4 linked regions of the Neodiprion lecontei genome follow. The protein of the gene in region 2 purifies or fractionates together with the protein of the main gene of each other region. This does not show direct contact. Links are inferred from orthologs where the notes say so. Each region holds a gene or a part of one and is shown on either strand. Other genes may lie near its edges.

Region 1 (7,815 bases), on a different chromosome or scaffold from region 2:
TACGATAACGTTACTAACTTCAACCTCGCTACTTGACACTTAAAAACTATTACATTCTCAGCATTCATCGACTTTGGCATAAATGTAGTGGTATCTTGTCACGATAATAGTACAGTATGTAAAAAATTATTTACTGGTGGACCAAGAGCATTCTTTGTTTTCTTTCCATTGTGACTTGTGGTTATCATAGATTTCCTTCTTCCAAATAGGTACAGTACTTTTCAGCATGTCAATAGCAAACTGCGTAGCTTGAAGACTCTCTTGTCTGTGAGACGAAGAAATAGCTATGACAACGCTGGCCTCAGTCACAGATACGACCCCTAGGCGGTGGTAAATTGCTATGCGTTCAACATCCCATTGAGAACGAATCTTTGAGCATACATTCTCCAATTCTTTCAACGCCATTGACTGGTATGCCTCGTACTCCAACTTAACGACCTGCCACAGAAAAAAATGCATCTTGCAACAGTCTTACTATTCTGATAAAAGACATTACGAAAATTCTAATAAAACTGCGCAACTCATTGATGAATTTCTAGTTTTTCAAACTTGCAACAACCATGAATTGTGGGTAACTTGCAGACTACGAGAGAATATTTCATAAGTGAACTAATGTGGCAGTATTATTGCTAAAATCTGGCAACCGATTTTCATGAGTAAAAAAGTTGTTTGAAATCTTCAATTTTCTAATAAACTGATGTTTCAAAATTTACTGGAATAATGATTTCCTTTTCCACTCGATTACAGAAGTTTGAGGTAGGTGGTAAAAAACTGTATTCTTCCAAAAGTCACATATGTTTTTTAAATTTTCCCACAACTATAATAGCGGGATAACTAAGCACTGGGTAGAAAAAATTAGTTGTAATAGTGAACACGTTATTCAAAAAATGCCATCAATACAGCCTCATTTCCAGATTTTCTATCAAATTCTCTGATGTTTTATGGTAATACTTTCTGCGAAATTTTATATGAATTAGGGTCGCTTCACACACCATTTCAATTCTCTAAAACCGCGGCGCTGTGCGCCCCACTCTGATCAGCTGAAGGAGTCAGTACTCCTTTCCAAGAAATTGTAGCATCATGAACAGTGGCGTCATTGCCAGCATGGATGGTATAAACCAGACCTCGACATTTTTATGGCATGGAAATCCCTGCCCTGGATTTTGGAACATAGAAATTTTTTTCAAACACATTTTACGCGCATTTTAAAAAAAAATTTTAGTTAAAAAATAAATTAGAGTAACCAAAGTTAAAATTCTTCAGATCTGTCTTGAATTAAACGACTCGATTTATATGAATTTGTACTGTATTTGTTTGAAAAACGCAACTTGATTACTTTTTCATACACTTGGCTTTCATGCTGCATAAATTGATACAATATCTGATATATACCTGTTAACTTGTATCTAACTTCGTTCAAATGAATAAAGAGATTTGAATACTGAATAGTAATTTTTGTATAAGAGAAATAATTTTGTTTCTGATTTCCTAATGTTCCAGGTTCCACATTTACATAATGTCATTGACACATGTCATTTCGAAGTCCTTCTATTTCCAGACTCCTCAACTTTAAGATTGAAGAATTCTGATCTACTCCTATGTATACTATTAGGATCAAACCTTTATTTCATTGTATAAAATTGTCTCATTGTTAGACATACGCATGCCCCCCCGCCAAAGGCCAAATATCGGTAAAAAAACGTAGTGGCATCGCTGGTCGTGAAATATTAACTAAAGTCTGCAAAACCGATATGTAAATCCAGACACAATTAATACGAGATAGTATAAAATCACTTGTAGCGTATTTTCCCGAAATTATATTAATAGGGATACTAATAATAATATAGATACTTGTCTGCTTTATCAACATTATAACAAAATTAATTAGATTTCACAGTTCGATTGTCAGAAAAATTATGACCAAATAAATGGAATGATTGATATTCCTTTTTACATATGCAGTGACAACTTCTAAATTTCTTAGAGTACAAGTAATTGTGTACCTTCTTTCCTTCAAAATTGTCCCGAGTTGTACCAATGAAAGTGGATATTGCTCCACAATTTGCTGCAACTACCAGATTAATTATGCCTCCTATATTCAACTGTTCCGTCTGCAGCTTAATGACATCTTTTGAGTCATTCATCTTAACCTGCAACAAAGACTGTGATTGTGAATATATTCCCAAAAATGACTATTGGAATTTACAGCATAACAAAGAAACCAAAAGTATTAAAAACAGAGAACAATCACGATTATAAGTACAATTCTAAAGTCAAGGCCGAAATTCTTACTGAATAATTTGAAAACAAATCGAAATTCTTGATAATGATTAAAGAATCAAAGCAGACCCTGCATGTCAAATCTTCGTGAATGCAACTCATTGTAGATTCAAGAGTAAACTGAAGGTGATATTTAAATCGTTTACGTTAATATCGTAAGTAATTAAAATAATCGTAAAGCTGAACTTTGTAACATTAACGTAATGATGAATTTTTTCCGTCTGATCATTATTTAGCAACTTTATAGTTGTCCATAATACAGTAGTTGACTCAAATAAAAGCAGAGCATAAATATGAAATTTTGCAAACGTAACTCTTTCAGTCATACTAAAGTTCCAAAATCATGATTTAAAAAAAATTTTCCTTCATCTTAGCTTTGCAAACTTTGAGCTCATAAATTTTCCAAGAATACTTTGCTAAAAGGCTGGATCATTATTAAGAAATTTGAAATATCATAAATACTGAAAAACCCTGAAAAAAAACTCCTTTTTTGTAATCAAGAACTATTATTTGAAAATAGCGCGAACAATATCTCAAGAACCAATGACAAGATTCAGTTCCAATAAGTTTCCTTTTACTAGGCTTGAGGCTGAAGTTAATAATATTATTACAATGATTAACGTTTTAAAAAATTGCTATTTCTCAGCTGCAGGAATCTCTGAAATTTAGTAAATCATAATGAGGCAAACTGTATTCTTTTTCATATTTTGAAAACCTAACTACTTCAAACTCACTATAACCTTGCAAAATAACAATTTCTCCCCGCAATGTTTGGTTACATAAAGGTTACTAACTTCGGCATTATTACTACGCTTTGCTCCTCCATAAGAATGGTCTAGACTTTAGCTAGACTTTATAAGCTATGAACAAAAGAGCCGAATTCAGATTTTTGGATAAGTAACACATACTGGGAAATGAGTTTAAATAATCTTTTCTCCGAAAATTGTGTTAATTATGTGCAACATTTTATCAATGAATATTGTGTTTCCTGGAAGAACATCCATATTGTTGAGCCTGTTTCTGGCAGTTTGTGGTGATCCAACATTAAACGGCGTATGGCTAAGCCAATTACAGTTTATTTTCTTCAAACTTGGGTTTTTCAATACTCTTGTGTTTAGAGCTGTCATGGTAATTAAAAATTAAAGGCACATAAATTCCAGTAGACTTTGTAATAAGCTGTTGAATGTTGGATGTAATAATACAAACGTTCTTCTAGGTACCCTCATATTCCTTGCCTTCGGCGATAAAGCTGGAAATGATTATGGTATTCATGTCGATTTTCATCAGCATTGTACAATACGAGGATAAGATACTGATACTGGCAACTGCCCAATCCTGAAACATAACTTCGACCCTATAGAGAATGGTACAGCCGCTCGTTGCGGCATAGTATTATTATGAATGTGGCGGAAAAACATATTTCACTACTTGAATGAAATAAGGTTCCGAAAGATGCCCATGATAGAAGATTTGTGCGAAAACAGTCAGGAAGAAACGTATACCTTTTGTAATTACGTAGTTCTCATTTTTTCGCTGAGCAGTCAAAGTAGTTTGATCATTATTATGATTAAATGTAAATAAATTGAAATAAATGTTAATATGTTTGATAAACTAACCTCCACTGAGCGGGGGAATAACAGCAATTTCGTCCTGGTCGGATAGGTTAAGCGTTCCGTTGGCTGCAAGGTATTCTTCGTTGAGAGATAAGATAACAGAATCGCGAATACTTTCGAGACCAAATTTCTCAATAATTGTATCCAACAAAGATTGGTAAGAGATGTTAGCCGGCAGCTTAGCCCGAGACTCTTTCAGGCCGGACAACTCGCGAGCCTTGGCGAAAAAGAGAATTTTTACCAGCGAATCTCGTGATTCTCCATCCATCATAAACTATGGGCGACAGAGTGGCGACAGCGACTGGCTCTGCTTGGCACTTGCATAGACCTTTATCGCACCACACATGTTTTCAACACATGCATTGTTATTGTTCACTGTTTACTCGATTGGTATTAGCCAATACTATCTCGTTACGTAAGAAATATTTTCCCGGAACAATAGATCGGTGGAAAGTTGGTAACGAAGCATAACGAGGTTATGTTTGCGTACGGTACGGTCGAAAAACGCTGATACCGGAAACGTGCCGAAAAGGAGAACTGTGATTAATCAGCCTTTCTTCATCAGTCGTCAAATTGACGTATAATTCTACTGTTATCTCCTCCATACATACCAATTTATTGCTGTTGCAAAAATTTCTGTTTTTATTGACAAGCTGCTCGACAATTCTTGGACCTTAAAATTGTTGCTAGGCTGACGCCCGTGGTGATGACGTAACACCTGTTAGCTGGCGCCTCACTAGACCAAACCGAATGCACTTTTGATAATCAGGTCAAAGGCGGAATGAGGTCACGGGAAGTATGGTCGCACAAAACGGCCAGGCGTGGGCCCTTATTATTGCACGAAAAATAGATACCTATCTACCTGCCTGAAATCCAGTTAGAATGCGAAAGCAGGAACTGTACTGTTAAAAGTAACGGAACCATATATATGTATATATATATATATATATATATATATATATACATTTATATATATCTATATAAAATATATATGCATAGGTATACCTATCTACGCATATTTTATCATGCATTCATCGGCATCCTCACATCTGGTGACATCGCAGTCAAATTAATATCGCCTATGTATTATCTTATCGAAGAACCTCCATTTGGAGGAAAATGAGCGTGCAAGTTGTCTGGTAGAAATATGGGAATTATTTCAAAGCTGAAGCGCTCGTGATACTTGTATACAAAGCTACGCTGAAATCTAAATGGAATATTCAATTGCTTATTTGAACTATACCAGTTCTGTCATGATACTTGGGAAATAATTATGTACGGTATGAAAGTATAGGTGTTGACTTCAAATTGTAAAATACAGAAAGCAAAAGGCGCACTGCGTATGTGTCCAGAAAAAAACCTATGATTGAACAACTATCACGGACAAAGCTGAGAGTGGCACTATGGTAGTAACTCGTAAGTAGTGGTATAGTTTAAAGACGCAGTAGCCTTGTGCAAGATGTTGGTGCAATCATATTCTTTCTAGTTCTATTCTATACAATAAAAATAAATACTTGTACGACATACAATCTGAAAAATATTTCATACGGAATTACGTTCTATTTATTCCATTTCGACTCGATTCTTGTCAATTAACATTACAGCTATAGTAGCTACACTGTACAAAATGATCGATCAAGGGCATATGGTAGCACGGCAATTTCATACGTACCGTCACTGTTTCAAAGCTAATACACAACGTCTACGGTGACTAGCTATGGACTAGCTAGGCTAGTATCTCTGTGTATAGCGTTAGCATGCGATGGCCTTGGGTAAGTATTCAAATGTATGCAGGCGTACGCGTGCAATACAATGTGCTCATAGTTAAGTATAGATATGGGTGGATCGAGAATACTGGTAATCCGGAGCTAGGAAAGAATGTGCAAGTTGCTGTGGGGCAAGGACAACGTTGCTGTAATAGGTATACACGGTGTAACAAGGTACTTGCTTCTTGCAAGTTGTGAAAGAGAATGTTACCTATACCGCCTCACTGCACGATTGGATATGGATGAAACATATGTTACACATGCCCAACTAAACCTTATCCCTGTCGATCCTGTCTGCAGAATGAGCACCGCACCACGATAATCGTCATATGCGTTTGAAATCGCACGATATGCCGGCATGTACGTGCATACATACCTCAGGCAGGGTCATATTTTGTGGGAAAATTGAGCATAAGCGCGATAGACGCAGGAAATATTCTGTGAAAGTAACCGTTTTTCGGCGTACGAATCTTACGAGACTTGTCTTCTTCCAATTCATGGATTTAATCAAATCCAAGTGCGCTTCGAAATGAAGACGTGAAAAATCAAAGCGCGTATACCCCGTGAACTTAGGCCGGCTCTATGTGAAACGCACACGTCTCGCACTCAAGAATGATTGCACATGATATCGTCACCTACTACATTTTTGTTTTCGTCGCGATGAGATGAACACACGACGGGCCACCCGCCACATAGAGAGGACACATGCTCGCGGATACAAGCTTTCCCGCTCGTATAATCGCTGACAAGTAGCATGTACACAGCGCATACATGCGTTGATAAAATTCAACGAAATATGGATTTTTGCTTGACCTAAATACGGTTTGGTTACCCAAAGCTTTCTTCCCGTACATTACCGTGCTTCCGACACTATGCCAAAAGCTCGGCACCCGGCGATGTCACGTAGGCAACAGCCAGTACAAAGCAACCCAGGGTAAATGTGAGCTCAAATTTCAGTATGAACCGTTCGCCTACGTGCGCTGCGATAAGCGACACTTATCGCAAGTCCGCGGAAGAAATGTTTAGATAACGCGAGTTTAGCGGCTTGTTCGGCAGGAGAGGCGCCATTCGGTTAAAAGCGACATCGCGGCGATACGGGTTGCGAAATGCAACGGCCCAAAAATAAATCCCTTTCCCCCGTTACGGGCTAGGTAGCTTCTCCTGCTTGTTAGTTTCGTTCATGGTAATGTATCGATACGAGAATCCGGATGCCCCCCTCCGCCGCCCGGCTGCCATTATGCGCTAATGCCAGAATACGGCAAGCGATTGGTGGTAATTGCTGAACATTTTTGTGGCAACTCGGTGCCTTTCTATTAATAGCGGATTTTGACCGTTTGACGGAGAGGACGATGGCAAGCATCACAGATGCGCCAATGAAGGCTATCATCCATCGGCATATTATATGCGACAAAGAGCGAGGGAACAGGACAGAGGCAGTTGTGTTAGAATTGCGTCGGAGGGCGAGGGAAGGTACCGGAGGAGACGTCCGTCAAAGATAGTAGGAGCGAACTAGAAGCACACAAGCGGCGAGGCGAGGGGTAGAGGGAGGGAGTCGCGGTCGTGGAGGCGACCAGCTGGTTTAGCGAGGGAGTTCCGAGGGAGCTGGGATCAGTTGCCAGTGAGACGTGTACAGGTTGTGGCGGCGTTCAAGTGTGGAGTTTCTCAGTGAGTTTGTGATTGTCCGTCCGTCGGTCGTTCGGTCGGTCGTCGTCGGTCGGTCGGTCGGTCGGTCGGTCGTCGTTGTCGTCGTCGTGTCCTCGTCGTCGCTGTTTGGTTCGTGTGCGCGAAACAACGAAGTAAAGATGGCCGCTGACTCGGGTATGGAGACGTGTCCCTCCCCAGAAATCGCGGATTCAAGAAAACGACCGCTAGACTGCGACGTGGAAAACGGCTCAACAAAAAGATCCCACTACGGCTCAGGTATTTTGATAATTTTGCAGTATTAATCAGACCCCGTCGAAAACGAAGCGATTCGATTTACGCTTGTACGATGTCGGATGTGTATCGTGACGAGGGATCATTTGAGCTGATTGTGTTTAACGCGGCTAGTGCCACGGAATGTTTGACAAGCCAAATTTTGCGTAGCCCTGTCTCTCGTTCCCACCTGTCGTCCGGCATGGCGTACATCCTTTCGCAATTCGTTCCTTACTCCCTTT
Region 2 (7,766 bases):
CCTGTTCCCTTAGAGCGTCCATTTTAACGCGAAACCTTTTTGTTATCACCTTTCGCCTCGTGACTTCTGTAACAACTACGAATGCTTCTTGACCGTAAATTACTGTCCGATTTCCCAAGCTGTTTAGATAATTCGAACTATGACGACACCGCTGTTCTCTTTATGTTATATCCGTATTGTTATTGTTTTTTGTTTTGTTACACGGGTTCTATTAACCGCGGCAGCAATCTGCACCCACCCTACCAACTAAAGGCGGGCTAGCCATAAGCCAAATACACAAACAACTTATTTTCAAAACTACTCATCCCTGACGAAAGCAGAACGATCCGACGTTGACGTCACAATTCTTGCTTACATTAACGTGCCTGCGACAAAGTCGTCTGTTTGGAGCCGTCACGTTGGGCGAACTCCCTCCCCGCGACTTTTAACAATCAGATGAATCCCCACCAAGTCGCGACATTTGTTGTTATTTTGATTATGATGGCGTTGGCCCGAATCTTGCTCTATACAGAGAGAAACCTGAGAGGGCCCACGGAACGAAGAGCCTGGGACAGGCTGGTGAAGCTCGGTTCCGTCGGATCTGTGTGTCCGTTGCGTGAACTAAATTCTCGGCGGGTAAGCGATGGACGCAGATAACGAAGCATGCTCTGTATTATCTGCTCCACCGCTTAGCTCTCTGTTATGCTAACCCATAGATGTAAGCTCGCACGCATGCGTCTTACAGAGTGAAACCGCGGTATTCCTCGGCCACTCTGCCGCTTTTTGCAAAGATTCAGTTGCTTAATATTACAGAAGTGCAATTTCGGATCTTGCTTCGTAAACGGATGCAATACTCTACATGTGATACTTATTCAATTAATTATTATAGTACTACAAACAAATCCAGTATTATAAAAATAAATAAATATTAGTATTATAAATAAATAATAAACGAATCATTAATTACTCTCTTTCTCCCCCCTCCCTTCCACTTACAAATGAAACAAAAATTTCTTCATTTATATTTTTATAGAAAATATAATTTAGCGAGCAGGTAAACAATTATGTACGATCAAACATGTTGAGCGTGGCAAACGTGTCAAACGTGTCAAACCAAATTTAAAGAATGTTTTTCTTTTTATCACTCACGATAATCTTATTTCTTGACCACCTGCTTTTATACAATTATAAATTACGCGTATGCACATCTTTAATTATTGCTGGAATAAATGTAGTTATAATTAAAAGTTGGCCAATTCATTCGTCCATTTGTTGAAATTGTGTGTGTGGAAATCTGTTTAATATATTCGACTTTTTTTCAATTATTTTTCAAGCAATACATTATTTGTTAACCATACAGTTAAAGAACGCATTTATGTAGCTATTATTCGCGCTCGATCTTTGGAATTTTTTCACAAATTCTTGACAACAGACAGACAATGCTGTTTCACTCGCTCTCGTTCATTATCACACCCGCCTTTTCGTCTCTACACGCCCTCCCAATGTTTCATTTGGCATATGCATCTTATTTTCATCTATCGTTGAATCACCATTTTTTTCTCTGCACCTCTATATTCTAGGTATCATGGTATTTAACATAATCCATGGCAACTCACCATCATATTTGAAAGAGTTATCTTCTCTCCAAAATCAAACGAACCATACTTCCCGACAGCAAAAAACTCATTATTTCCACTTACCTCTACCCCGCACGCCTACCTATCGCGATTCATTTTTTCTTTCTGCCATGCATTTTTGGCACTCTCTCCCTGCCGAAGTAGCAACTTCTCCCTCACTTCCAATTCTAAAGGTTCGACTGCACAACTACCTCTTTGCTATAGATAGGGTTACGGTTTAGCTATTTTTAATCAAAATTTTAACGTTTTGGCTATTTTAATTTTAATTTTAATTTTAATTTTAATTTTAATTTTAATTTTAATTTTGATTTTAATTTTAATTTTAACTATCATCACATTGTATCTATCCACAATCCTTTGATCTTTATTCATCTTTATTTTAATTGCGTCCTTATTTTTATTTTTATTTTTATTTTTATTTTCGGCACATTATTTCATACTCTTTATCTCGTGTCCTCTTGTAGATGTATATTACTATTAAATAATTCTATTACCATTATATCAACTTTATTACTATTATTGAATATTTTTTATATTTCTTTTTTATACTTATACCAACTATTGTTATTTTGATATCCTTGAAAAACTTATTTCTGATTTACACTGAATAATTTTATGTACTTTCATAATTCGCCTCATGGTACTACCAAGGCATAATAAAGGTTGAATCAATCAATCAATCTCTCTCTCTCTCTCTCTCTCTCTCTTATGCTTTTTCCTTCATAGATCAAAGAAGCTGATGAATACGGTACAATAATTGTACTTAACGAACAAATGCGTAAGAAAATTCGTACGTAAAATGCCGAACACATCATGATTTTGTTGCCGCAGAACGGAATGGCCTGTTGGCAGAGAAAAAAAAATAAGGAAGAAAATAATGAAAACGGTTTATTCATTTTTCGTTACTCGTAATTGAATATTCCAATACGTTTGATAATAGCGATACGGGTAACGCGTGGTATGCGACGACGGAGAGACGGGCCAAGTCTCGAGCGCGAGAGCTGCGATTGGACTTGTGCATGTATTCGGTGACTCGTTACAGCGCCGTATTCGGTCGTTACACAAGTTTTCTCACAAGCTTTTCAAATTTTTCAGCTTTTGGCTAAGCTTGTATTAAAATAAAAAATTGAAAAAATTGTTTTTATATATTTTGTTATATATGGGTGTTTTTTTAATTTTTAGAAGTTTGAGAAAAAAAATATAACAAAGTTAAAAATTGATAAGTTAATAAACAATGGAATTGTTGATAAAAAAAATTTTTTTTTTTACTTCATGGAGGACTGTCCATTATGATTTTTAGATAAAAAATAATTTCGCAACTAATTATTTAAACAATAGAATTCTAAAAAAAACGAATATAAACAAGTAAAAATTGTTGTTAAGAAAAAAATTTTTTTTTTAAATCGTAATATTTATAATATAATAAAGTTGTGAAATAAAATTTTGAAAAAATATTCAAATGATCAATTTGTTTGTAAAAAATTTATGTTCCTTGTTCCTCAAGGAAGGACTATGAATACTTGCTTACGTACATACTTACGAATATTTTATTGCGAATTGGTTCCACATGTGTAATACTGCTTAATAAGTAGTTCTGTTATTGACGGAAGATATTGTTTTAAATGTGTAACAAACACTTGTTGCAGTAGTTCGATTTGAAGTTGTCATCTCTCAAGATGGCGATTTCCGCTATCCCGCCAATGACGGCACTTGGTAAGTCAGATGACAGGTTAGTTTGTGTCCTAGGTTGTGTGGGTTGTGTGACATCGTTTGCGAAATGGTGTTGATAGTGAAATATCATTAAACAATTGGGTACATGATTGGCATGATAATTTCAAACGTACCTTGGATAAAACTAATCGTCAGATCAGACGACCTTTCGTACGTACCTGATTTGTTCGCTTTTCCATAGTAAGTGGACACAAAGGAAAAACAGAACCTAACCTCCAAGATTGCTTATTGGACACTTACGGTGAATAATAATAACTAATACAGTCGGTGAAAATCACAAAAATTACTGATAACTTAAACTTACTGCAATCCAGCTTATTGGTTGTATTTTTATAACGGTCGAACGTTAACTGAACATACCCACAGAGAAGACAGAGAGAAACCGTAATGTCAGGTAAAGGTAAACAGAGTTCAAAGAAGGCGCTGATAAAGGTGCGCGAGGGAGGTAAATCCGGACATCTGTCTTCTGTAAACTCTGACACAAGTTCGGAGAGCACAGAGGCTGCAGTTTCTCTGCCTGTTCTAAAGACGGTTGACAATGGAAAACATTTGCCAAGGTACTGTAGCATTCTGCAGCGTTCGGCGGAGGAATGTGTCGGGATGGAAGATTTGGATACGCTACAACTCGAGCTGGAAACATTGCTTTCATCCGTTGTAGTTCGATGCCGATTACTGCAAGATGAGATAACAAACTTGTCGTCGGCGGAAGAACGTAGAGACAAAAGGTCAAAGAGTGTAAAAGGCCTGTCGACACTTGACAAAAAAATTCGCGAGGATAAATCCAAGCTCAAGGACTTTAGCTCGAAGGCGCAGTCTCCGCTTCCGGCCAAACTGTTTAAGCAAAAAACTTCTGGGGGATTAGCTTCTCAAGTTGTCCCGAATCCTCACGAATTGAACAGAATCGATGGGAGTAAATCTGATCTCCCTAAATTACTTTTGCCCAAAAACGATACTCCCAATAAGTTCTGGGCTTCGGTCGATCCTTACTGCACCGATATCATGCCGGAGGACTTAAAGCTGCTGGAGGAATTGGTCGCTTCTCATAGCGATCAGAGCGAGTTGAAGAAAATCCCGCCGCTCGGTCGTCATTATAGTCTGCTGTGGGCGCATAATGATTTATTGCAGGAGGAAGATGCGGCTAATCCAAACAGGGATAAAAAGAAAAATCGGTCCGACGTTTCGCTCCTTGTTTCGAAGGTTGATAAGAAGGGAAATAGCATCGCAGGACCTTTGACCCAAAGATTAGTTTCAGCTCTGTTGGAAGAGAATGTATATGTAGCTAATAATAATATGGATAATAAATTGTTTAGGGATGGCGATCCTCCTGTGCTTAGAGACTTGTCTATACAAAATTCAATGAATTTGGAATTGAGGATGCACAAGGAGCTGGTAGAGCAAGGTATACTTGAGGCTGATACTCCGAAAAAGAATCAAGATGATGAAATTCTTGCAGAAATAAAACGATGCCAACAAGAACTGTCCGCTTTGTCCAATCATAATGTGACACAGTTGAAACGACTGCTTCAATTGGCGCAAGAGGAGAGCAAACGACAGGCTGTGAAACGTAAAATAAGCATTGTCGACAACGAAGTCGTTGAACATTACAAAAAATTGATACTAGCTAAACAGAGAAAAGTGTCTATGACTAAAAAAGAACAGGAGAAGGCTTGGAGCTGCCTGAGAGAGCGTGAAAACTTACTTGAACATTTGAATATACTGTCAAGCGGCAGTGACACTGTCATCAACTCAAGAAATAACACGGCTTGATCTCTCAATGGTCGTCATACAAGCCAATGCGTATATGCGACATAACATTGCGTTGTAGAATAGCAGTTCTGATTAGTTAATCTCATTTGAGTCATATTTTTATGTTTATCATGTTTAATATTTTGAATTATTGTACTTTTCGTTACGATTACAATGTTAAAATGAATGATGTGACAATTACTTTACAGCTTACATTGCTCTATTTACTTGTACAGATTACAATATTATAATTCTGGTAGTAATTTATACAGTTACACATCTAAGTTAATTTGTTCTTTTGATTACTTTTTTATGTGGTGCCTGATACAATTGAGTGATTTATGAATGTAGTAACAGGATAAATTGACCGTCAGGGGAAAATAATGAAATGGGAAAGATGTATTAACATATAATCTATATTTTAATATATTATTTTTAAATACATATTCGAGAATTTTCAATCTTACGTATCATCTGGAATAATAGTAACGATAATGCTATTCGTAACAATGATAATGATTATAATTATAGGGAATGTTCAACAAATGAAATATCGTGAAAATGTAAACAAGTCGTAATAATAGAAAAATATATGTATATGTATGTATATAATATATACAATATATATATATATATATATATATATAATATTATATATATTATATATATGTATCAAGATATAAACAAAAAAACAGTTAATCCAACGACAACAAAATTATACAATATCACAAATAAATTAAATGAATAATGAATCCATTCAAGTTGAATCATAATTGTGGTGCAAGTGGTAACAATTTAATAACAAAAGGTATCTTCAAATATCTTTGTTTCGAGCGAGTAATATTATTTGTTTACGCATACTATTATCATTTATTAATCAAGTTATATCATAAGTCACGGTAAAGAGATATAACACGTACAGAATGATTCAGAAAAATGTTACCTGCAACTAATTGGAAAGAGTGATTATTTTTCTCTAACAAAAAAAAAAAATAAAAAATCTCACGAAATTACTATTCAAACCCTTCATCATTTCAGAATTCTTCTCCATGAATAATTTTTTTACTTCTCTCTTTTTGCACGTTCCCAAGTTTCATTTCACCTACATATTATATGGTTCTTATTAATTGTACCAACACTAACATGTTTTTTGAGCCAACTCGTATTTCTTCATCATTTGTTCATTCAATTTTTATTACAGAATGATTATATGTTATGCCTGAATATTTGTTATAATAACGCTCTAGTTGATCTTCTCTTTAATTTACTTATAAAGATTATTTATGGTTTGTCTTTTTGGTTTGGGCCCCATGCAACCGTTACAGTCAGAACATATTAGTTTATTTTTATTTATTTAATTTTTTTACTTTTAGATAACGTACGTTTACTTTTCTACATTCTATAGAAAATACAAGTTTCACTTTGGATATTTTGTTCAAAACTTTTTCAAATTAGTTTCAGAAATATTGGATGCTGCTCTTTATTTTATTACTCATGTTTTGAAATCTAGTTGTAAATTGCTTCGTTTTTTCCTTTTTTCCGGAATGTTTATCTTTTATATGTATATCAGGGGGCCTAAGTCGAATAGAGAAACTTTTCTATTATTTAGCGACCTGACACGTATCGACCTTGCTCTTTCTTCATAGGTACTTTGTTCACTTATTTTTTCTTAGCCCATATCGTTAAGATTCTACATCAATGAATGTATATATTTATGTAAATGACTGTATGTTTAACAGAGTGAGTCAGATTAAACACGATATAATTGGAACGGTACAGTTTCGCCTACCTATACAGTTTAGTTTGAATTGTGATGAAAACTTTCGATTTTTAATTATAAATAATACTAGATTAACAATTGATTTCCAATCACAAGAAAAAAGAAACGAAGGACGAAAGATTCTACGTGTAATAGTGTAGAAAATTAAATATGTGTGGATAAAAATTAATAATCCGTACTTGAGCTGCCGCTTTTTTTTAAATTCGAAAAATTGTCCCTGGTATATTTGAATAACAACCTAGCTAATTGTAATAAATTCCGCCCTGACAAAACTATTTTATTTTATGTTTGATTCTTTTTTGTTCGTTTTAGAGAGAATTATAATTTAGTCTGAAAAACGAGCGTTTGTAGATACCTTCTATTCTTTTATATACATATATATATATATATATGCTATTATATATATATATATATATATATATATATATATATATATATGCTTGAACACGTGTTAATATACTACAGTGTAAATGTCTTTAGTAAAAATTTGAAAATGATAATAATTTGACGTATATGCTGCCTTTTAATTAATACTGTTGACTTATGCCTTGTTAATAAAACATTTCATTAGTTTTGGCAATTTTTTTTTTTCTACTTTTCTACAAGTCCTGTTTCTTATTTGGCACAGTTTTTTGTAACGAATTCATGCAGTACAGATAAAATGGGTAGAAATATTGATTGGTAACAACACTACTACTGCATTTATACAAATTTGTTGTTGCATCGTGATAAGAAATGTTTTTTGTGAGTAGAATATTTCGACAACTATAAGGTATTCATCATTACCACTCAAAGCCAAATATGTTTTGATTAAACTAACTAGGTTTGTAAGTTGATTTGTGAAGACTATGTGTATAGAACAATATTTCCACCATCTACCAATTATATGTGGG
Region 3 (7,572 bases), on a different chromosome or scaffold from region 2:
TGTTACGTATAATTACAATGAATGGCAAAGTACTTTTGACTGCCATTGTCCACTGGTTGCTATTTTACGGTAACAACAGTTCAGTACTGACAAGTCGAGTGCCACTATTTAATACGATGCGAAACTGCGTTTCGTAAGCGAGGCAGCCACGAGAAGTCGTAAATCATATGGGTTTATGGCCCAATAAAATGATAAAGTAATAATGCCGTGAAGTACCGACTTCATCAAAACTGAATAATTATCACGTGAAAATGTGTTACAAAATCTCCTCATGGACAGAGATTATCCAGTGCCATAATCAGACATCGTTTCTGTCGTTATTGCCCGCACATCGTGCGGCGGCCAAGGCCCTCCAAATACTGCTGAACGCACGTCTCATATCCACTGGAGAAGTGCCCGTAGTAACACTGACCACGAATCTAACGAAGGCTACGAATTGATTATTGAGTCCATTGATATTGACATGCTCAACGGTTGTCACGTTCAAACCACTGCAGAACTTCCTTTACCCCCCATGTGGTTAAATTTGCTGTTGGAGGTTTAGTATCCAAATACCCGGTTTCGGGAAGAAAGAAAGAAAATAATAGACATCGAGCAGGGTACTATTTAACCAAGTGTGACTGATGATAACTTGATTGGTTGCAACGAAATCTCCCTTGTAAAACTAACCACAGAACTCTAAAACCCCAAATACGGGTAAGAAATAATGATGTCATTCGCATTACAACCCGCAAAAAAAAAACTGATGGACTGCGACTCCTGCCCCACACGATAATCATATGATCAAAAGGTGACAAAACTTGAACAATTAAAACGTTATTTCTAGGAAATTGATAGTTCATTCACAAGTGCAGGTATTCGCATTGTGAATTTGTATTGAGAGGCGAACTTGATAAGTGACGCGAAGAGGCACCCATTAGAGCACGTCGTGAAGAATCTTCGTCGCCTTCGAACGGTAACCAAGCGACCAAGCTATCATCATTGATCTTAATCGCAAATTATTTTGCAAAACCATGCTCGGAATGCAGACTGCCTTGCCGGCTGCCAGGTGAAAACCGGTGCTGGGCCGGTAGATAATCAGGCCGGAGGTGAAGTACACCGTACACCATACGTGCGTGTTGGATTCTGACCCCACTTTTAAACGGCAACGCGTAGTCGAGAGGGTCAGTGTACAACAGGCTGGGTAGACGTCGTTGGGCCGTTAAGGGTAATTATTGAGGGTATCGGACGCCATAGCGTTGTGGTTCCCTTCACAGAGAATAAAAATCCATACACGACATTTCGCAGAAACTAATGACAGCACAACCTTCATCCATGTCCATGATACGATAGAGATGGTCGTCTCTGTCGCATGTACAAGAATTTACAGTTATGCAGAATAAGAGCTGAAGAGGCTTAATAACTTTACACGAGATGTAACGCATGATTTTTCCAACAACGGAGAAGTCCGTAATGATATTATCTGCCGTTACATCACGCCAACTTACATCTTTCCTTCCAGAGCCCAAGAGCTGTTTACTCCGTAAAAGATAACGAAAAAAAGATGTTTCGGGTATGCAGAATTATAGGACGTTACTTTCGTCCGAAGCAGAACTACGTCTACTATTCGGAGTTAGTAGTTTCGCGATGTTGTGTTCAATAACCACCGCAATGATACGTTCTCAAAGTACCCTCAGAGTAGGGATACTGTCAATTATTTTGACATCCATGTTATCGTGCCAAGGAACGACTTTGGGCTGGGTTAAAAACGAGATGGAAGTTATGCGTGTTTTCAATATTTATAAACAGAGTACATTATAGGAATGAAAGTTGCATCTAGCATTTGTTCAACAATCAATATACAATCAATCGATGATCTCAGAGAACGTATGCCGCGATTTGAGATGGCCTGGTAAGTGGAATATAATTAATTGGGTGCGACGTAAAATGTCCGTCGGATTTGTAAGCAAACTGCATAGTTAGTACTGTAGTGATCTTTTGGTCTGAATGTCTTCCAGAATAGTTCTCATTTCGTCATCTTCCAAACGTCCTTCGAGACTTGGTATCAATGCTTTGGCCTCCTCAGGTGTTTCAGGGCAAAGATTCGCCAATGAAGCCAGTTCAAATTTATGGAGCTTCTTCTGCATCAGTAAACTGTAAAAACAATTAAACGCGTATTAGTAAACCAAATTGCACAGAATGTGAAACGAAATGAATCTCTTCTACTACTGCAATGAGCTCAATCTGCTGCACATACTTTCGAACCGCAGCGATAGTCTCCTTATTCCTGAACTTGCGAAATCGATTAGTGTACGTCAAACTCTTCATGAAAACCTCGGAGAACTCTTGTTCCTCTTCTGCGGATTCGTTCTGTGCCTTCCTGTGTTCCAGCAGCATGTAAACCTCAGATATCAACAGCGTCTCAGCATTTTCAAACTCTGTCAAATAACGAGTTATAGTATTGTAATAGATGTACGAAAAAAAAAATTATTTCGAGTTCCTCCTGGAAACAAATGCAGAGAGGTTTCTCTAATTGCAAGCTCATTCTGTGAAAAACGCGATCAAGTATTTCTTCAAAATTCGTTTCTTGCGTGTATTTTTCTTCTGCCAGCACGTAAAAAGTTTTTCACAGTAGGTTGAAATAGAATTAAATAATGACGCGAGGAATAAGGACGAATAAATGTTATTGTATGAACGTTCCATTCGTCTTCAAACCTTTCAGAATGTAAGAAGACGTGGATAAACAAATTCATCAGTTATTGGTTTGTTTTTGAATTTTAGTTTGGCATGGGTTGTTCGTCTGAATTAGTAGAATGGACTTTTTATTTTTAATGCCAACTCTATAGATGGTAAATGATTGAAATTTGTGAAATTTCAATCCTTTTTGTCGGTCATGTTAAAAATAACAGAATAGGAATACTGGAGGGTTCATTGAGAGTAAAATTGGCATAAATTCACAAAAATAGTAACATTTCTATTCGTATATAAAAGAACAAGCTAACAAAGGACTTAGACTTGAGTTTGTACATTGTAATAAATAATGAAGTCTTAGCCTATTTTAACCAACACATAATCATAAAAATTAATTCACTTGTCAAATGGGCTGTCACAAAGTGTTAATATCACAATGACATTGAAATGTCGAAAAATATTCACATATAACTGCGACGAATCAATTGACCAGTGACGTGTCTTACTGAGCAGGTTTATTGATGTATCCTTCTTCTGCCAAGAAATCATATATTTTTCGCGTCTTGTTAACATCAATCTTCAGAAGAACTCTGGCTTGAGCAAGCCTCAAGCTCCCACATTTTTTATTCTCTGTTATCAACAGGTTTTTGAAGTCAAAGTAGCTTTCAGGTATAACACGAGCATTTGAGCAAAGATCCCGTTCAGCCGGAGTAAGGCGGTCGTATCCAGGAAGCCCTTGAATAATAAGAGGCGGCGGTGCTTTACGTTGGGGAACATTTGGTGCAACATGAGGTGTAGTCTTTACAATGCAGCCAGGTAATACAGTCTGCCAGCAATATTCTGTATTACTCATATACTGCTTTCTCTCTTTTTCATGTTCCATGCGCAGCTTGGCCAACTTTTGAAACATCGGTACTGAGTGAAACCTTGTGATACCATTTCGGCGAAATTCAAATAATCTTCTAATGTAATTTCTTAGTTCACCAGCGTGGTGAAGACCCTCGATTATGTAATCAAAATCCATCCCACTGACAAGTTGCATGAATGTTAGTAATCTTTCGATCAAAGGTCTGGTAAGAGTCGATTCGTACCTTTGAAGCCATGATATGGTTCTACGAAACGAAATAAGCCCATGATTACGTACAATTTTTCTACGCCTTTGCCTTTCTTTGAGTCTGTGATTGTAGGCATTTACTATTGCAACTTGGAGGTTTTTTCCAAGCTCCAAATGCTTGTCGGCAGGACAGAATTCTTCATATTTTAAATCTGAGACTAACAATTCAGCATAATTGTCAAAATTTACTTCGAAATCTGATCTAGCTGCATTGTATCCGGCCAATAATTTGTAGTTTATCGTATTGCTGGCAAATCTTGGCGGGTCTTCAAGATCTTGAAGTTTGTAAAGGTACGGTACAGCCTCGGAGCCAAACAAGCTGACCTCGGTTTCTTTTATCTTCGGTAATCCAGGCAAATTTTGATTGTCTATGAAATTGTGCAGGTAATGCTTCCTGCACTCATCCGGCGACTTGTTCTGCAATCTCCTCGATATATCGTCCCAATTGCCGAATCCACACTCTTGCAAGACATCCAAAAGTTCGAGTTCCTCTTTGGCGGACCAATTGGAACCGGGTATAAGTGGGAATTCGTTTTTTATTATAATGTAATTGTGGTTATTTTTATGTTCCTCAATTTCGGCACCGTTTGAAAAACAGTTGGGACATATCTCTATGTTCAAACACTCGGCGCACTTTATGTATGGCTCGTACAGTGTCGATTTACACACACAACACGCGGGGTCAGAAGTAAGGATTTCTTCCTTCACGACTGATACCTCGAGATCGACGTCGTGTTCCGACTCATTTGCAAAACTCGACGGACAGTCTGAAAGTAAGAAAACCGTTACTCGAGACCTTTGTTCAAGGATGACTGAATTAGTTGCTTAAAACGGTATTTTTTTTCCATATACCATTCAATGCTTTCAAGCCCCATCGTTTTAGGTTATGTCTGCGACGTGAAATTGTTCGCGAAATTATAAAAGTAGCCGCTAATTTCAAAGAAAATTTTACAATTTTCTCACCTTTTGGAAACTGGAGGTCTGCCGCATCCTCTTCAGTCATATCCGTTACATTTGTATTAGCCATTTCTTATGTTTTTTTGAGAAATAACAACGAACTACTTTGCACGGGTAACGCTGTTTACACACAATGCACAATTGCGTGACCGTCGATAAGCGTTGGAAGGAGTTGACTGATCTTCTCACAGATAGCAGCACTTAACGAAAAGCGTGTTTTTTGCCTGTCAAAACGTTACTTCGTCCATCAGATTATCGACGAAGTTAGCAACGAATTCGTCAGGCAGATTCTACCGTACCGATGGAATTCAACAGTCGAATTGAATCGAATATTTGAATATCGCATAATTTGAATTACATTCGAATGGTGCGAAGATTCGAATTGTTTGAAAGATTTAAGTATTCGGAATATTCACATTATGGGACTCCAATTATTCACATACCCTCAACAAAACTTCTTGGCAAGTGTCTGACAACAATGGTGTCTATGAAATTACCAGTATATCTATGAAGGAAGAAAAAAATTATTAATGAAATTTCATAACTTTTCCGAAATCAACAATTTTTCCACGAATAAAGAATCTTATACAGCGATTTGGTTTCGCGCCTTGATAATGAAACTGGAACAAAGGCAGGCGAAGCCTTGACCAAAATGCATCGAAATTATTATTCTGCGTAGGTCGATGTTCATGTATAATAGTCGGACATATTATACATGCAAACGAGTATTTTTTAGCATAATGAATATCTGAGATGAACGGATATAAAATTATGCTTACCACAAGAATTTACGGTGTATAGTATACCTCATAGCTCGCATCGGTAATATTTTGGCAAATTTTGGTTCCAGTTCAGCGAAAGATTTTCTTTCTTAAATTCCATGGGACGCAATGTATTCCTTATAATATATATTTATCCATGAAACGCGTAAAGTCTATGCAACGGTTGTACGGCCTATAAATACTACATAAAATGTAGAATGGCCTGAGGTCACGCTGTGTGTCGACAGAATATTCGATAAAATGATTCGGCAACTGAATAATTAATTCCAGCATGCTAAGCCAATTACCATATTCCAATTTGTTCGTGAAACTCGAATCAAGCTCGCACGAACTCAATAAATTGCTGTCTAATATACTCACATTGTACGATTGTACAATGCAAACATTCTAGTGCAGAATTATTTCAGAGGAATTTTCGAAAGCGGCATAGTAGTTTCTAATCTTGTGGTGCGAAAATTGTCGGTTGGATTTAAAAGTTTGATGTAAAATATCGTAGAACGGCTGAATAGTGGGATGTACAGTTATGCAATAATTATTCGTAAAAAATTTTACAACAGCCAGAAAATTTTATTGCCGAAATGAAATAAACATGCCGGCGATTTCAGTTTTGCAATAAAACAGTTGCGAATACGCAACCACCATCATCCAGCAACATTTCACGTCAAATAAAATGATACAAAGGATATTTTAACCAAGATTTAGAGTCGTAACTGCGTGTCTGAAAACTGCATTTATCCATCAAAATTCGCCATGTGTCTAGCAAAAACTTCTTTTAGTTCGGTTATAATCTTTACTCGATATTCATCTCATGTGAAAAAAACAAAGAGTCGATTATAACGTGATCCAGGTTTTGCGGATGCAGCATTCGTACATCGTGTCGTGGACATACATATTCTTACGATTAGACGTCCTACAAGTATGCCGTACGTGCCTCGAAATTCGAGGTTGTATATTTTATAATTGTAGTTGCCTTTGTGCTTGCCTCGAATGTCAGATAACGTATCTGCAGGGAAAGAATTCGGTAGCACGAGTGACAATGTCGAGAATTAAGACTTCATTTATAGGGTGATCAAAAGGAGCAGAAAAATGATGCGGTTAAATAATCTTCAAATCCGACCGATTCGCCACATCCACCTCAGGTGCGTGAATCACACGAATCTCCAAAAAAATATCTTATTCCAGCTGCATGGCATGTTTTTAATAAATATTGCGTTTTCAAGTGTGCCGAAACCAAAAATGACTTCCATTTCCCTCCAACGCGTACAATATTTTTGCTTGCAAAATAAAAGATGTTCGCGTAAAGAAAGCATAACAATAACGAAAAAACCGCCATTTCATTGCAATGAACTAAAGAATATTTCTCATGAAATTAAACAAACAATTTTTTTATCAAATGTACTCAACATTCCGTGTTCATACATTTTGCTTACGAAACCATTTCTTCTTCTCTTTGATACACCTCCGAACGAGCTTCCGCTTTCCATTTTCTATTTCCCTGCTTGTATTTATTCTTGAGTCTCACTCTGATACATATTAAATGAAAGTAAGAAATCACTTTTGCATAAGATTTTTGGAATCAAGAACAGGATACCAGATTTCGAGTTGAACGGAATATTCACTCCGAATGAAACTACAAACACGAGTTGGAGAAAAAACCTGACGTGATGGAACCTTTTGAGTATTTTTCCCGGTTTCAGTGAGTGAAAATCAATAAGAAATGAATAAAGAATCTGTGCAGTTTTTTGGTTTCAGACCTATGTTACACTTCGGATTCACTACCTTTACGACTTGACGACTCTTCTCTTCTTTACACTGTTATACGCATCGAATTCTTCGTGTCATAAAATACAGGCTCCAAATTGGATTGAATCAAACGGTAAACATCCAGGGTAACTCCTTGCAAGCCTGAAGCCGAGCAATATTAAAACTTGTTTACTCGCACTTGACAGATCGCAGATTGACAAACTGTCAAAGTCAATCGCTGTTACAAGACTCCGAAATCCGTATTTAGTATTCCACTACTAGTGAATATTGAGAATCGAAGCTGTA
Region 4 (7,550 bases), on a different chromosome or scaffold from region 2:
AAAAATTTGAAACAACTGTTTAAGAAATATTCGCATTTAAAATTTCAAGGATAATGGAGAAAATCTTACTGCAAAATGTAAGTTGCATAATTTTTCTGTGCATATTATTTAAATCACGTGCGCGACAGAAATATTTGTATTTTTGCCAGGCATCTACAATAATCAACATATCGTTGTACAAATTTATCTCTGCATACGAGTATTGCACCATTGGCGCTATTTGAATCATAGGTAATAGATGCAAACGTCAATGCAACAGTTTATACACTATTTGGATAGTAGTAAATATAAATGCAGAGTAAAGCGGAAGATATTGAGTAGCTAATAATTCACAAACAATAACCACCTATCGACAGTTACTTTATGTTACTACGGATTCTTATACTTAAACAATAGCGTCAGTCAAAATTTAACAAATCAGCAAAGTCCCCCTTCATACTCATCTTCCGGCTCTTCTTCTTTTGTTGAACTTTCTTTTGGCTCTATGATCGGATTTGCTTTTGGATTGCCTTGACCGACTTGTCCACTAGCAACGTCTGCAGCATTGTCTTCCTGTTGCAAAAAAGAATATATCGTCTTTAACAATTTATGGTGATAAACCTTACTTCAGATGAACACATCGAGAGTTGTACTCAACAGCTGTTCACAAAATGTAACTCGAGCCCAGCGACTATTACCTGATTAACTTCAGCCTCAACCGTCGCTTGGCTAGTAAGTTTGGTAGCATTTGGGGATATGTAAGAAGCTGCGGCATTTGGTCGAACACCAGCCGGTGGAACTGCATATTCTACTTGCGGCAGAGGAAGCCCTCTTGCTAATTTGGCGTATTCTACATCCATGTGTTTGATGAAAGGACTGTTCAATGCTGACCTTGCAGAATCTGCATCCTCGTTGTCGTAGGCCTGTAGTAGCATTTCCAGAGTTTGTACCTGTGGAAAATGCCAATTTTACATTATTATACGTCCTTTACATGCCTTAATTAATAACGATTCCTTTAGTCTACTTGCCTCGGGAACGTCGCAGTAGTTTCCCCATTCTTTGAACGCCTTTTCTGCTGCCACTTGATCCCCTCTGGCGAGTTGAACCAATACTAGTGCTACCGCTAGTCGTCCTACAGACGGAGTGTGATCTATCTGTTGATGCATTCCAATCTCCCTACGAATCGCGTCTGCAGCTTGATCGTACATTTTTAGTTTTACTAGAATTCTAGCTACTTTGCTCATGTATTCAGCCGCTTGTCTCGGACTGTCTTCACTCTGTAACATTTTATAGCCGTATTATTTTTTAATCTCTAACGCTGGAAATACTATCAGGCTTTTTGTCATTATGAAATTATTTCTTATACCATAACAACATCAGCTGCACGCTTGTACAACTCCAGAGCTTGTGCGGGTTCAGTAGCTTCCAATAATTTAGCTGCTTTATCCAGTACCGAAGCACCTGATTCAGGTGAGCCGTGTTGCTGATATAACGAACATGCAGAATGTGCCAATTTCGGTACTTCGGTTAAATTTCCTAATTCCTTGCACACTAGAAGTGCCTGTTCCATACTCCTACACAACATTTTTAGTCACTTTATTTAGTTTATGAAACCACTATTTGTATGCTCAACATTTTTTTTTTTTGAAGGTGCTTATGCAAACTATTTTTAGAAAGCCTTTTATACTTATGAAAACGGATATTTGTTTTATATCAATTTCGTACAATTTGGGAGTAAAATCATAGCCATGGCAAAGAATGCTAAGACTAGATCTGATCTAGGTTTGATCTAGATCTGGATCAAATTAAAACGAATATGGTTCGGTAAATTATTTTAACACTTGAGATAATTGTTTGAAACAAAAACAATGTTGATTTGCATACATTGGTTTTTATCATTCTGTATTTGGAAAATATTTTTCATTTTCGCTTTTTTTCATCCACTTGATAAAATACCGTATGTTCAGTTTCTATAAACCAAGCATCGTTTTCCAAGTTTTAAAGTCTGCTTGAGTCTTTGAGTCAATTGGCCATACTTACTTTGCAGCGTGAAACCATCTATTAAACTAATTAAGGATTTAACTATAAACCAGAGAAAAAATTGTTTCGTCGAAACAGATGAAAACTATGACGCATGATCTGCATGTTTTATACTGATTCAAGAACTTTCGATTTCGACATAAGAAAATTATGTATAGAATTCATCGTTAATAAAAAAGTAAACCATGAAAATTCAAAAAACACCGATCGATGTCTGAAAGGATACGATCTGTTCTGTTTGTGACAGTCTGAAGCCTTCATTAGGCATTCCTTGCACTGTTGAAAAGCTTTTGCATTTCGAAAACAGGTGGCTGTTGAGTGGAAGGAGAAGATTAAATATTGACAGTAATGAGGCGCGCAAATATATTATCGCATGGTATATTTACCCGCATGGGAGTATTCATCAGCAGCGATTTCAAAATCAGGTCTCCACTTTAAAAGTGACGTTTTTAAACTAGGGGAGAAAATTAATAAATTATTATGATCTAAATTAATGGTACGTTTTTACTGGTTAGGGAATTAAAATGATCAAATTCTTTTCTAATTTGGATTGATGTACTAAGAAAAAAATCTCACCTTTTTTCGGCCTGCCGAATGTGGGCCATTCCTTCCTCCATTTTCGACATTTTTCTCAAAATGTTGGCTCACGTTTGTAAAATCACTTTGTTTTTCCGCAAAAATATTACTGTCAAATTTTCTTGTGTCAAATCAATTCAATCCGTGAAATGCAGACGACGTATTCCGTACTACGAAGCAGAAACCTTGGGCGTGTTCGTAAACTCATTTGCAAATGTCCTGACAATGAGTCACGAAAACTAGACGAAAATATGGTACTTTGTAAAATCCTGTAGATGGCGTCTCAGGATCGCATGATGGAAAAAAAAAAATAAAATAAAAAACATCACCCTACCGCGAATGAAGTTTATGGAGCGAATACACGACATGTTTATATTTGATTTTCAAATTCACAGTCGCGTCCCTCGGTGATACAATAATTACTTATAAAATCTGATTGAAATATCGGCGAAAACGAAGTAAAACTCAATTGAAACGTCACCACTTGCTGATATTCTACTTTTTATTTACCTTCCGTTGAAAATCATTCAATCGTAAAAGCTAAAGGTAAGTACATCAATTTTTCTCATCACGTTGTCTAAATTCTCGGTATCGTAGTTTTTATAACCTCAAAATTTCTCTCACTTTTTTCGACGACTTTTCTGCCATTGTAAAACGTGTTTTAATATTTCACGACAATATAATTTTGAAATTCTCTCTTCGCGAATTAACGAATAATGCTTCACCTCAATAGATGGCTGAGAGATTAGAAGACTTGAATCTCCCTAATGCTGTTGTAACAAGAATAATTAAGGAATCTCTGCCGGACGGAGTCAATATTGGCAAGGAAGCACGAGCGGCGGTCGCAAAAGCTGCTTCGATTTTTATATTGTACATTACGTCAACTGCCAATACAATCGCTAAAAAAGGAAAAAGAAAAACTATCAGTGGTACTGACGTTATTCAAGCTATTGAAGAAATTGAGTTTGACCAATTTCTTGAACCGCTCCAAGAGGCATTGGAAAATTTCAAAAAGTCACAAAAGGAAAAAAAGGATGCGACTACAAAGAGAAAACAACAGAAGAAAGATGACGAAGAAGTGGAAGAAATCGTTTGCGAAGACGCTGAGTAGCTTCTACTTTTTTTTGCATTTTTTACATTCACACACTATTTAATACATCGGATTTTTAACTTAAGTATATGTATAGGCTGTGTGTAAACCACAATTTATATTGAATAATATAAGAATATTTTTTTTTTTCACTCAAATCCTGATTATTATTATTATTTTTCCCCTCGAAGTATCTACTTATGTTTTATTACTTTCTCCTTTTCCAAATTGACATTATTATGAATCGTTAATGTGACACCTGTGCTTTTACAAAATCATTACTGCAATACATTTTGTACAAGTGGGTCGTGTGATGGAAGGGTTGCATACTATTCTGACAAAGTTTTGGTGAGTCACCAGGCTTCCGCTTTTTTGAATTGTATCACGAATTCAATAGTTTGTGGCATTGAATTGTATGACGAACAATATGCAAACAGTCTCAGAAAATTTTATTAATTGTATATAAGACAATATTGGTGTGAGAGTAAATAGATTACATAATATTTATGCAGAAATCGTTCGTAAAAGTGTGTATCTCAATGGGTACATAATAATATACATAGTAATATATATATACATATATATGTAGTTTTCTTTTTTTTTTTCATTCAATATCATTAGATCAATAATTGAACAATCTTGCGAGCTTACAGTAATGGTAGGTATAGACTATAGGGTTAAAAAACATTTACTCCGCATGTTCTAAAACTCCGTATGAGAATAAGAAAGATTAGCAATGTTCTTTCTATGTGGATTTTTAAATCAAGTGCAGAATGTGCAGTATAGGAAATGACTACAATTCGAACATTCTATGCTAAATTAATGGAATTTTTCATTTCACTACGAACAGTGTTTAGTATTCTGTTTAACAATAGTAGCAAGTCTAATCAATTAGAGACATGCCTATCGAATCCATATTTCGCTCTGTAATATTGGTTTACTTTGTGTTTTCTCCTTCACTATATTATAAAGTTATATCTTATGCCTAGCTTATATCTCAGTTCCGTTTACTTACTTTACATAGGTAAACACATCGCAATAATATCTTATATGTAAGAATTAATTGTATGTGTATATATGGCACTTTATGTTTACAAAACAGGCAAAGAAAGACTAGCATAAAATTATTGACTACTCAAGCCGTCCTTTCTTGATCAGCGCTGTTTATTAAAATTGAACGAATTCTAATTATTTCTAGTAATCAAAGAATTTTTCATCTGAATTAACTGCGATGTATATATATATAGCATCGCCTTCCAATAGTTAGGCATTCTTAACGAGTAGTACCACTTAAATGTTATTTAGCAAAAATTTACCATTACTCGTAGTTTAGAATAATTTCGGATCATTTTCATATCCTGCATTAGTAATTGTATTCATACTTGGCTTTACTATTCATATTTTAACAGTAGTTTAGAAACTTTTAAGGACATTTAAATTCTTTAATATCGTTCTTTGAGAAATGTAATTTTGATAGAAAAATTTATAAGCAAATAGACATTAAAAATTCTATATCAAATGTATATAAATATTATACATAGATATTTATGATTTGCATTTTCGATAAGTGCTCATCAACTTGAATCATAGATTTTGGTTGAAACTTGTCCAATATTTTGATACTTAACTTGAGAATGAAATATACATCACCATGAAAAATATCAATGGTTTTTATAATAAAAATTGTTTGTCTTGCACATTCAATTCTGTCTCTATTTCAGTACACAAAGAAAGCTGTAGAAATAACAAGATATTATCCAAGCATTTTTATCATTGGCTTTCTGAGATGTTCACACTATTTTTAAATACTGGATAAATATGCAATGATTTTCTTGGAAACATCATGTTCTCTTGAGCTTCGCACATTAAGTCTAGTCTGTATAGTGATGCAAGTATGAAAATTTTATCCAAGGATCTACTTGCATCAACCATAACACAATAGATATTTTAAAATAAAAGATAGAATATTTTTACAAACCAACTTTTATGTCTTCATAATACAAAACAGGGGTATGGCGTTGTTTTCTTTCACACTTTGCAGTTCACCAAATCGTCTGACTAATTAAAACATTCTTCAAATGTTGTGCGAGTTTTGTAGAACATATCGCTGTGATCATGTTGTTAAAACTCTTATTCTACGCTCAACAACACTGCGACACATTGGACACTCCGTTGCTACTTTATTCGCACATTCTGTGCAACAGCACATGTGTCCGCAGGGAAGGAAAATAACTTGACACTGAAATATGCAATGAAACAGGTTGTCGCATTACAAGGAAACATGTTAAATTTTCAATTTTGAAACTGAATATTATGAAACTCACAGCCATGTCGAGGCAGATAACACATTCCGTGGAATTTATGCCCTGTGAATCTTCGTTTTTATCCATCTTAGAACTTGTGCCAACTTCGTCTTCTGGAGCAGACGGTACGACAGATGGTATCTCGTGTAAATGCTCGCTAGCATGCAGCTTTTTCTCTGCTAGATAATTTTCTGTAGCTAATATGATTGCTGTTCGATCATTTGCGCTCTTGATTCCAACCTGTGAAAAAACAATTGCCAAATTATTCAGTTTTTGAAGTTGATTTCGATTCATAGTTTTCCATTTTCTTTGATAATTTTATGTCCTCACCTCTATTAGATCCTCATGAGTAATATGTGGCAAAAGTGACTGTATTGTACTCAAAAATGGGAGACAATGCATCACTCCTGCAATAGCTAAATGTCTGACTAACATTGGCTCCAGTGTCTCCAGTAAGCCTTGAGGCCTGGTTTCCATGAGTGATTGGTATTGCATTAGCCAGAATTGGCTGCCTCTTCTTGAACTCTTTAATAGTAAAAACGTAAATGTTCAGTTATTTTTGCTCGATACCACAATTACCGCACAAATCTATGCTCAAAACTTGAAAAGTTTCAAATGTGGAAGAAGATATTAAATATATTACATCTGTATGTTGCTGTTGCGCAATTTGATTAATGGTTTCTATTAGCTGTTGTCTCCGATTTTCCTGCTGCTGTAACAAGTCCATAAGAATGATACTCAAGGTCACCCTTTTGTCAGCGATATCATTCTGAAAGAGAAAGTTTCAAATATGATTAATTGGATATTTGCTTTTGTATGTCATAGGAGTTGCAATAATCTAGATAAATTTTCACGGATGATTGCAGTAATTGAATTTCTTACGATCTGCTGGTTTGTTTCTAATTTTCGTTTTTCCAACTCAATGGCGGTGAGATTCGCAAGCTGCGCTTGAACAAGATTAACTTGTTGCACGATACTCCAGGAGCGTGTATCACTGCGTTCAAGTAACGCAGTGACAGCAGCCTTTTGTAGTGCTTCATCTTTACGCAGACTGATTACTAAATCTTGCCTTGTTCTTTCTTGATCTTGTACTATCTGCGTTAAGTGATCATTGTTTCTTACTTCTCTGTAATGAAATTTAGAAATTAATAGTCTCGTGAAATTAAATAGTCTGAAGATGATAATCAGTTTTTCTTTTCAATGCTTACAAGCCCAGTAAAGATTGGGCGGTATAATCACGGAATTTGGTATACTCTTCAAGTTTTTGTTCAGTTAGCAGTTCCTGTCCCAGCAACTCTTCCATAGCGCCTGAAAAAATAATATATAGGAATTTTATTTCATGTCAAAATGTATCAGTATTGTTGTACAAAAATCTTCTAACTTACTGAGGGTGTCTTTTGTACGCAAATTGAATTGTGCCGAATGACTTGCCGCCAGCAATTGAACTTCCTCGAGTTTTTCTTTCTCCAAAAGTTCTGCCTGGCTCTGTCTCTCTTCTTCGCTATGATGCAGGAATTCCTTGATCACATTGTCAGCTTCTTTTTCAGCTGAAATATCATTGG

The links.
Region 1: the proteins of transcriptional adapter 3-B (region 2) and molybdopterin synthase catalytic subunit purify together in Drosophila melanogaster (affinity purification with mass spectrometry; 3 studies listed by BioGRID). This does not show direct contact. The link is inferred for Neodiprion lecontei from reciprocal best matches to the Drosophila melanogaster genes Ada3 and Mocs2B.
Region 3: the proteins of transcriptional adapter 3-B (region 2) and transcriptional adapter 2-alpha purify together in Drosophila melanogaster (affinity purification with mass spectrometry; 5 studies listed by BioGRID, with this or other methods). This does not show direct contact. The link is inferred for Neodiprion lecontei from reciprocal best matches to the Drosophila melanogaster genes Ada3 and Ada2a.
Region 4: the proteins of transcriptional adapter 3-B (region 2) and DNA polymerase epsilon subunit 3 purify together in Drosophila melanogaster (affinity purification with mass spectrometry; 3 studies listed by BioGRID). This does not show direct contact. The link is inferred for Neodiprion lecontei from reciprocal best matches to the Drosophila melanogaster genes Ada3 and Chrac-14.

The regions. Positions count from the first base shown.
Region 1 is NC_060263.1:10,686,738-10,694,552, reverse strand, and holds the start of molybdopterin synthase catalytic subunit, read right to left. Parts: upstream 3,892-7,815; intron 2,151-3,891; 5' UTR 2,145-2,150; coding exon 2,004-2,144; intron 1,157-2,003; exon of another isoform or gene 996-1,156; coding exon of another isoform or gene 993-995; intron 439-992; coding exon 135-438; intron 1-134. Other genes in the region: molybdopterin synthase sulfur carrier subunit, read right to left, coding at 3,892-4,164; RNA-binding protein Pasilla, read left to right, coding at 7,462-7,579. UniProt on the Drosophila melanogaster protein: Catalytic subunit of the molybdopterin synthase complex, a complex that catalyzes the conversion of precursor Z into molybdopterin.
Region 2 is NC_060266.1:16,333,908-16,341,673, forward strand, and holds transcriptional adapter 3-B, read left to right. Parts: upstream 1-3,332; 5' UTR 3,333-3,734; coding exon 3,735-5,114; 3' UTR 5,115-5,685; downstream 5,686-7,766.
Region 3 is NC_060263.1:41,257,708-41,265,279, reverse strand, and holds transcriptional adapter 2-alpha, read right to left. Parts: upstream 4,905-7,572; 5' UTR 4,812-4,904; coding exon 4,748-4,811; intron 4,552-4,747; coding exon 3,173-4,551; 3' UTR 2,439-3,172; downstream 1-2,438. UniProt on the Drosophila melanogaster protein: Component of the histone acetyltransferase (HAT) complex ATAC; predominantly involved in acetylation of histone H4, including at Lys-6 (H4K5ac) and Lys-13 (H4K12ac).
Region 4 is NC_060261.1:6,078,491-6,086,040, reverse strand, and holds DNA polymerase epsilon subunit 3, read left to right. Parts: upstream 1-2,918; 5' UTR 2,919-3,141; intron 3,142-3,328; coding exon 3,329-3,706; 3' UTR 3,707-4,980; downstream 4,981-7,550. Other genes in the region: gamma-soluble NSF attachment protein, read right to left, coding at 418-552, 678-929, 1,008-1,256, 1,346-1,553, 2,020-2,037, 2,246-2,330, 2,406-2,473, 2,596-2,645; E3 ubiquitin-protein ligase LRSAM1, read right to left, coding at 5,799-5,924, 6,010-6,228, 6,319-6,513, 6,632-6,757, 6,871-7,114, 7,197-7,296, 7,374-7,535. UniProt on the Drosophila melanogaster protein: Accessory component of the DNA polymerase epsilon complex. Participates in DNA repair and in chromosomal DNA replication. Histone-like protein which promotes nucleosome sliding of ATP-dependent nucleosome remodeling complexes.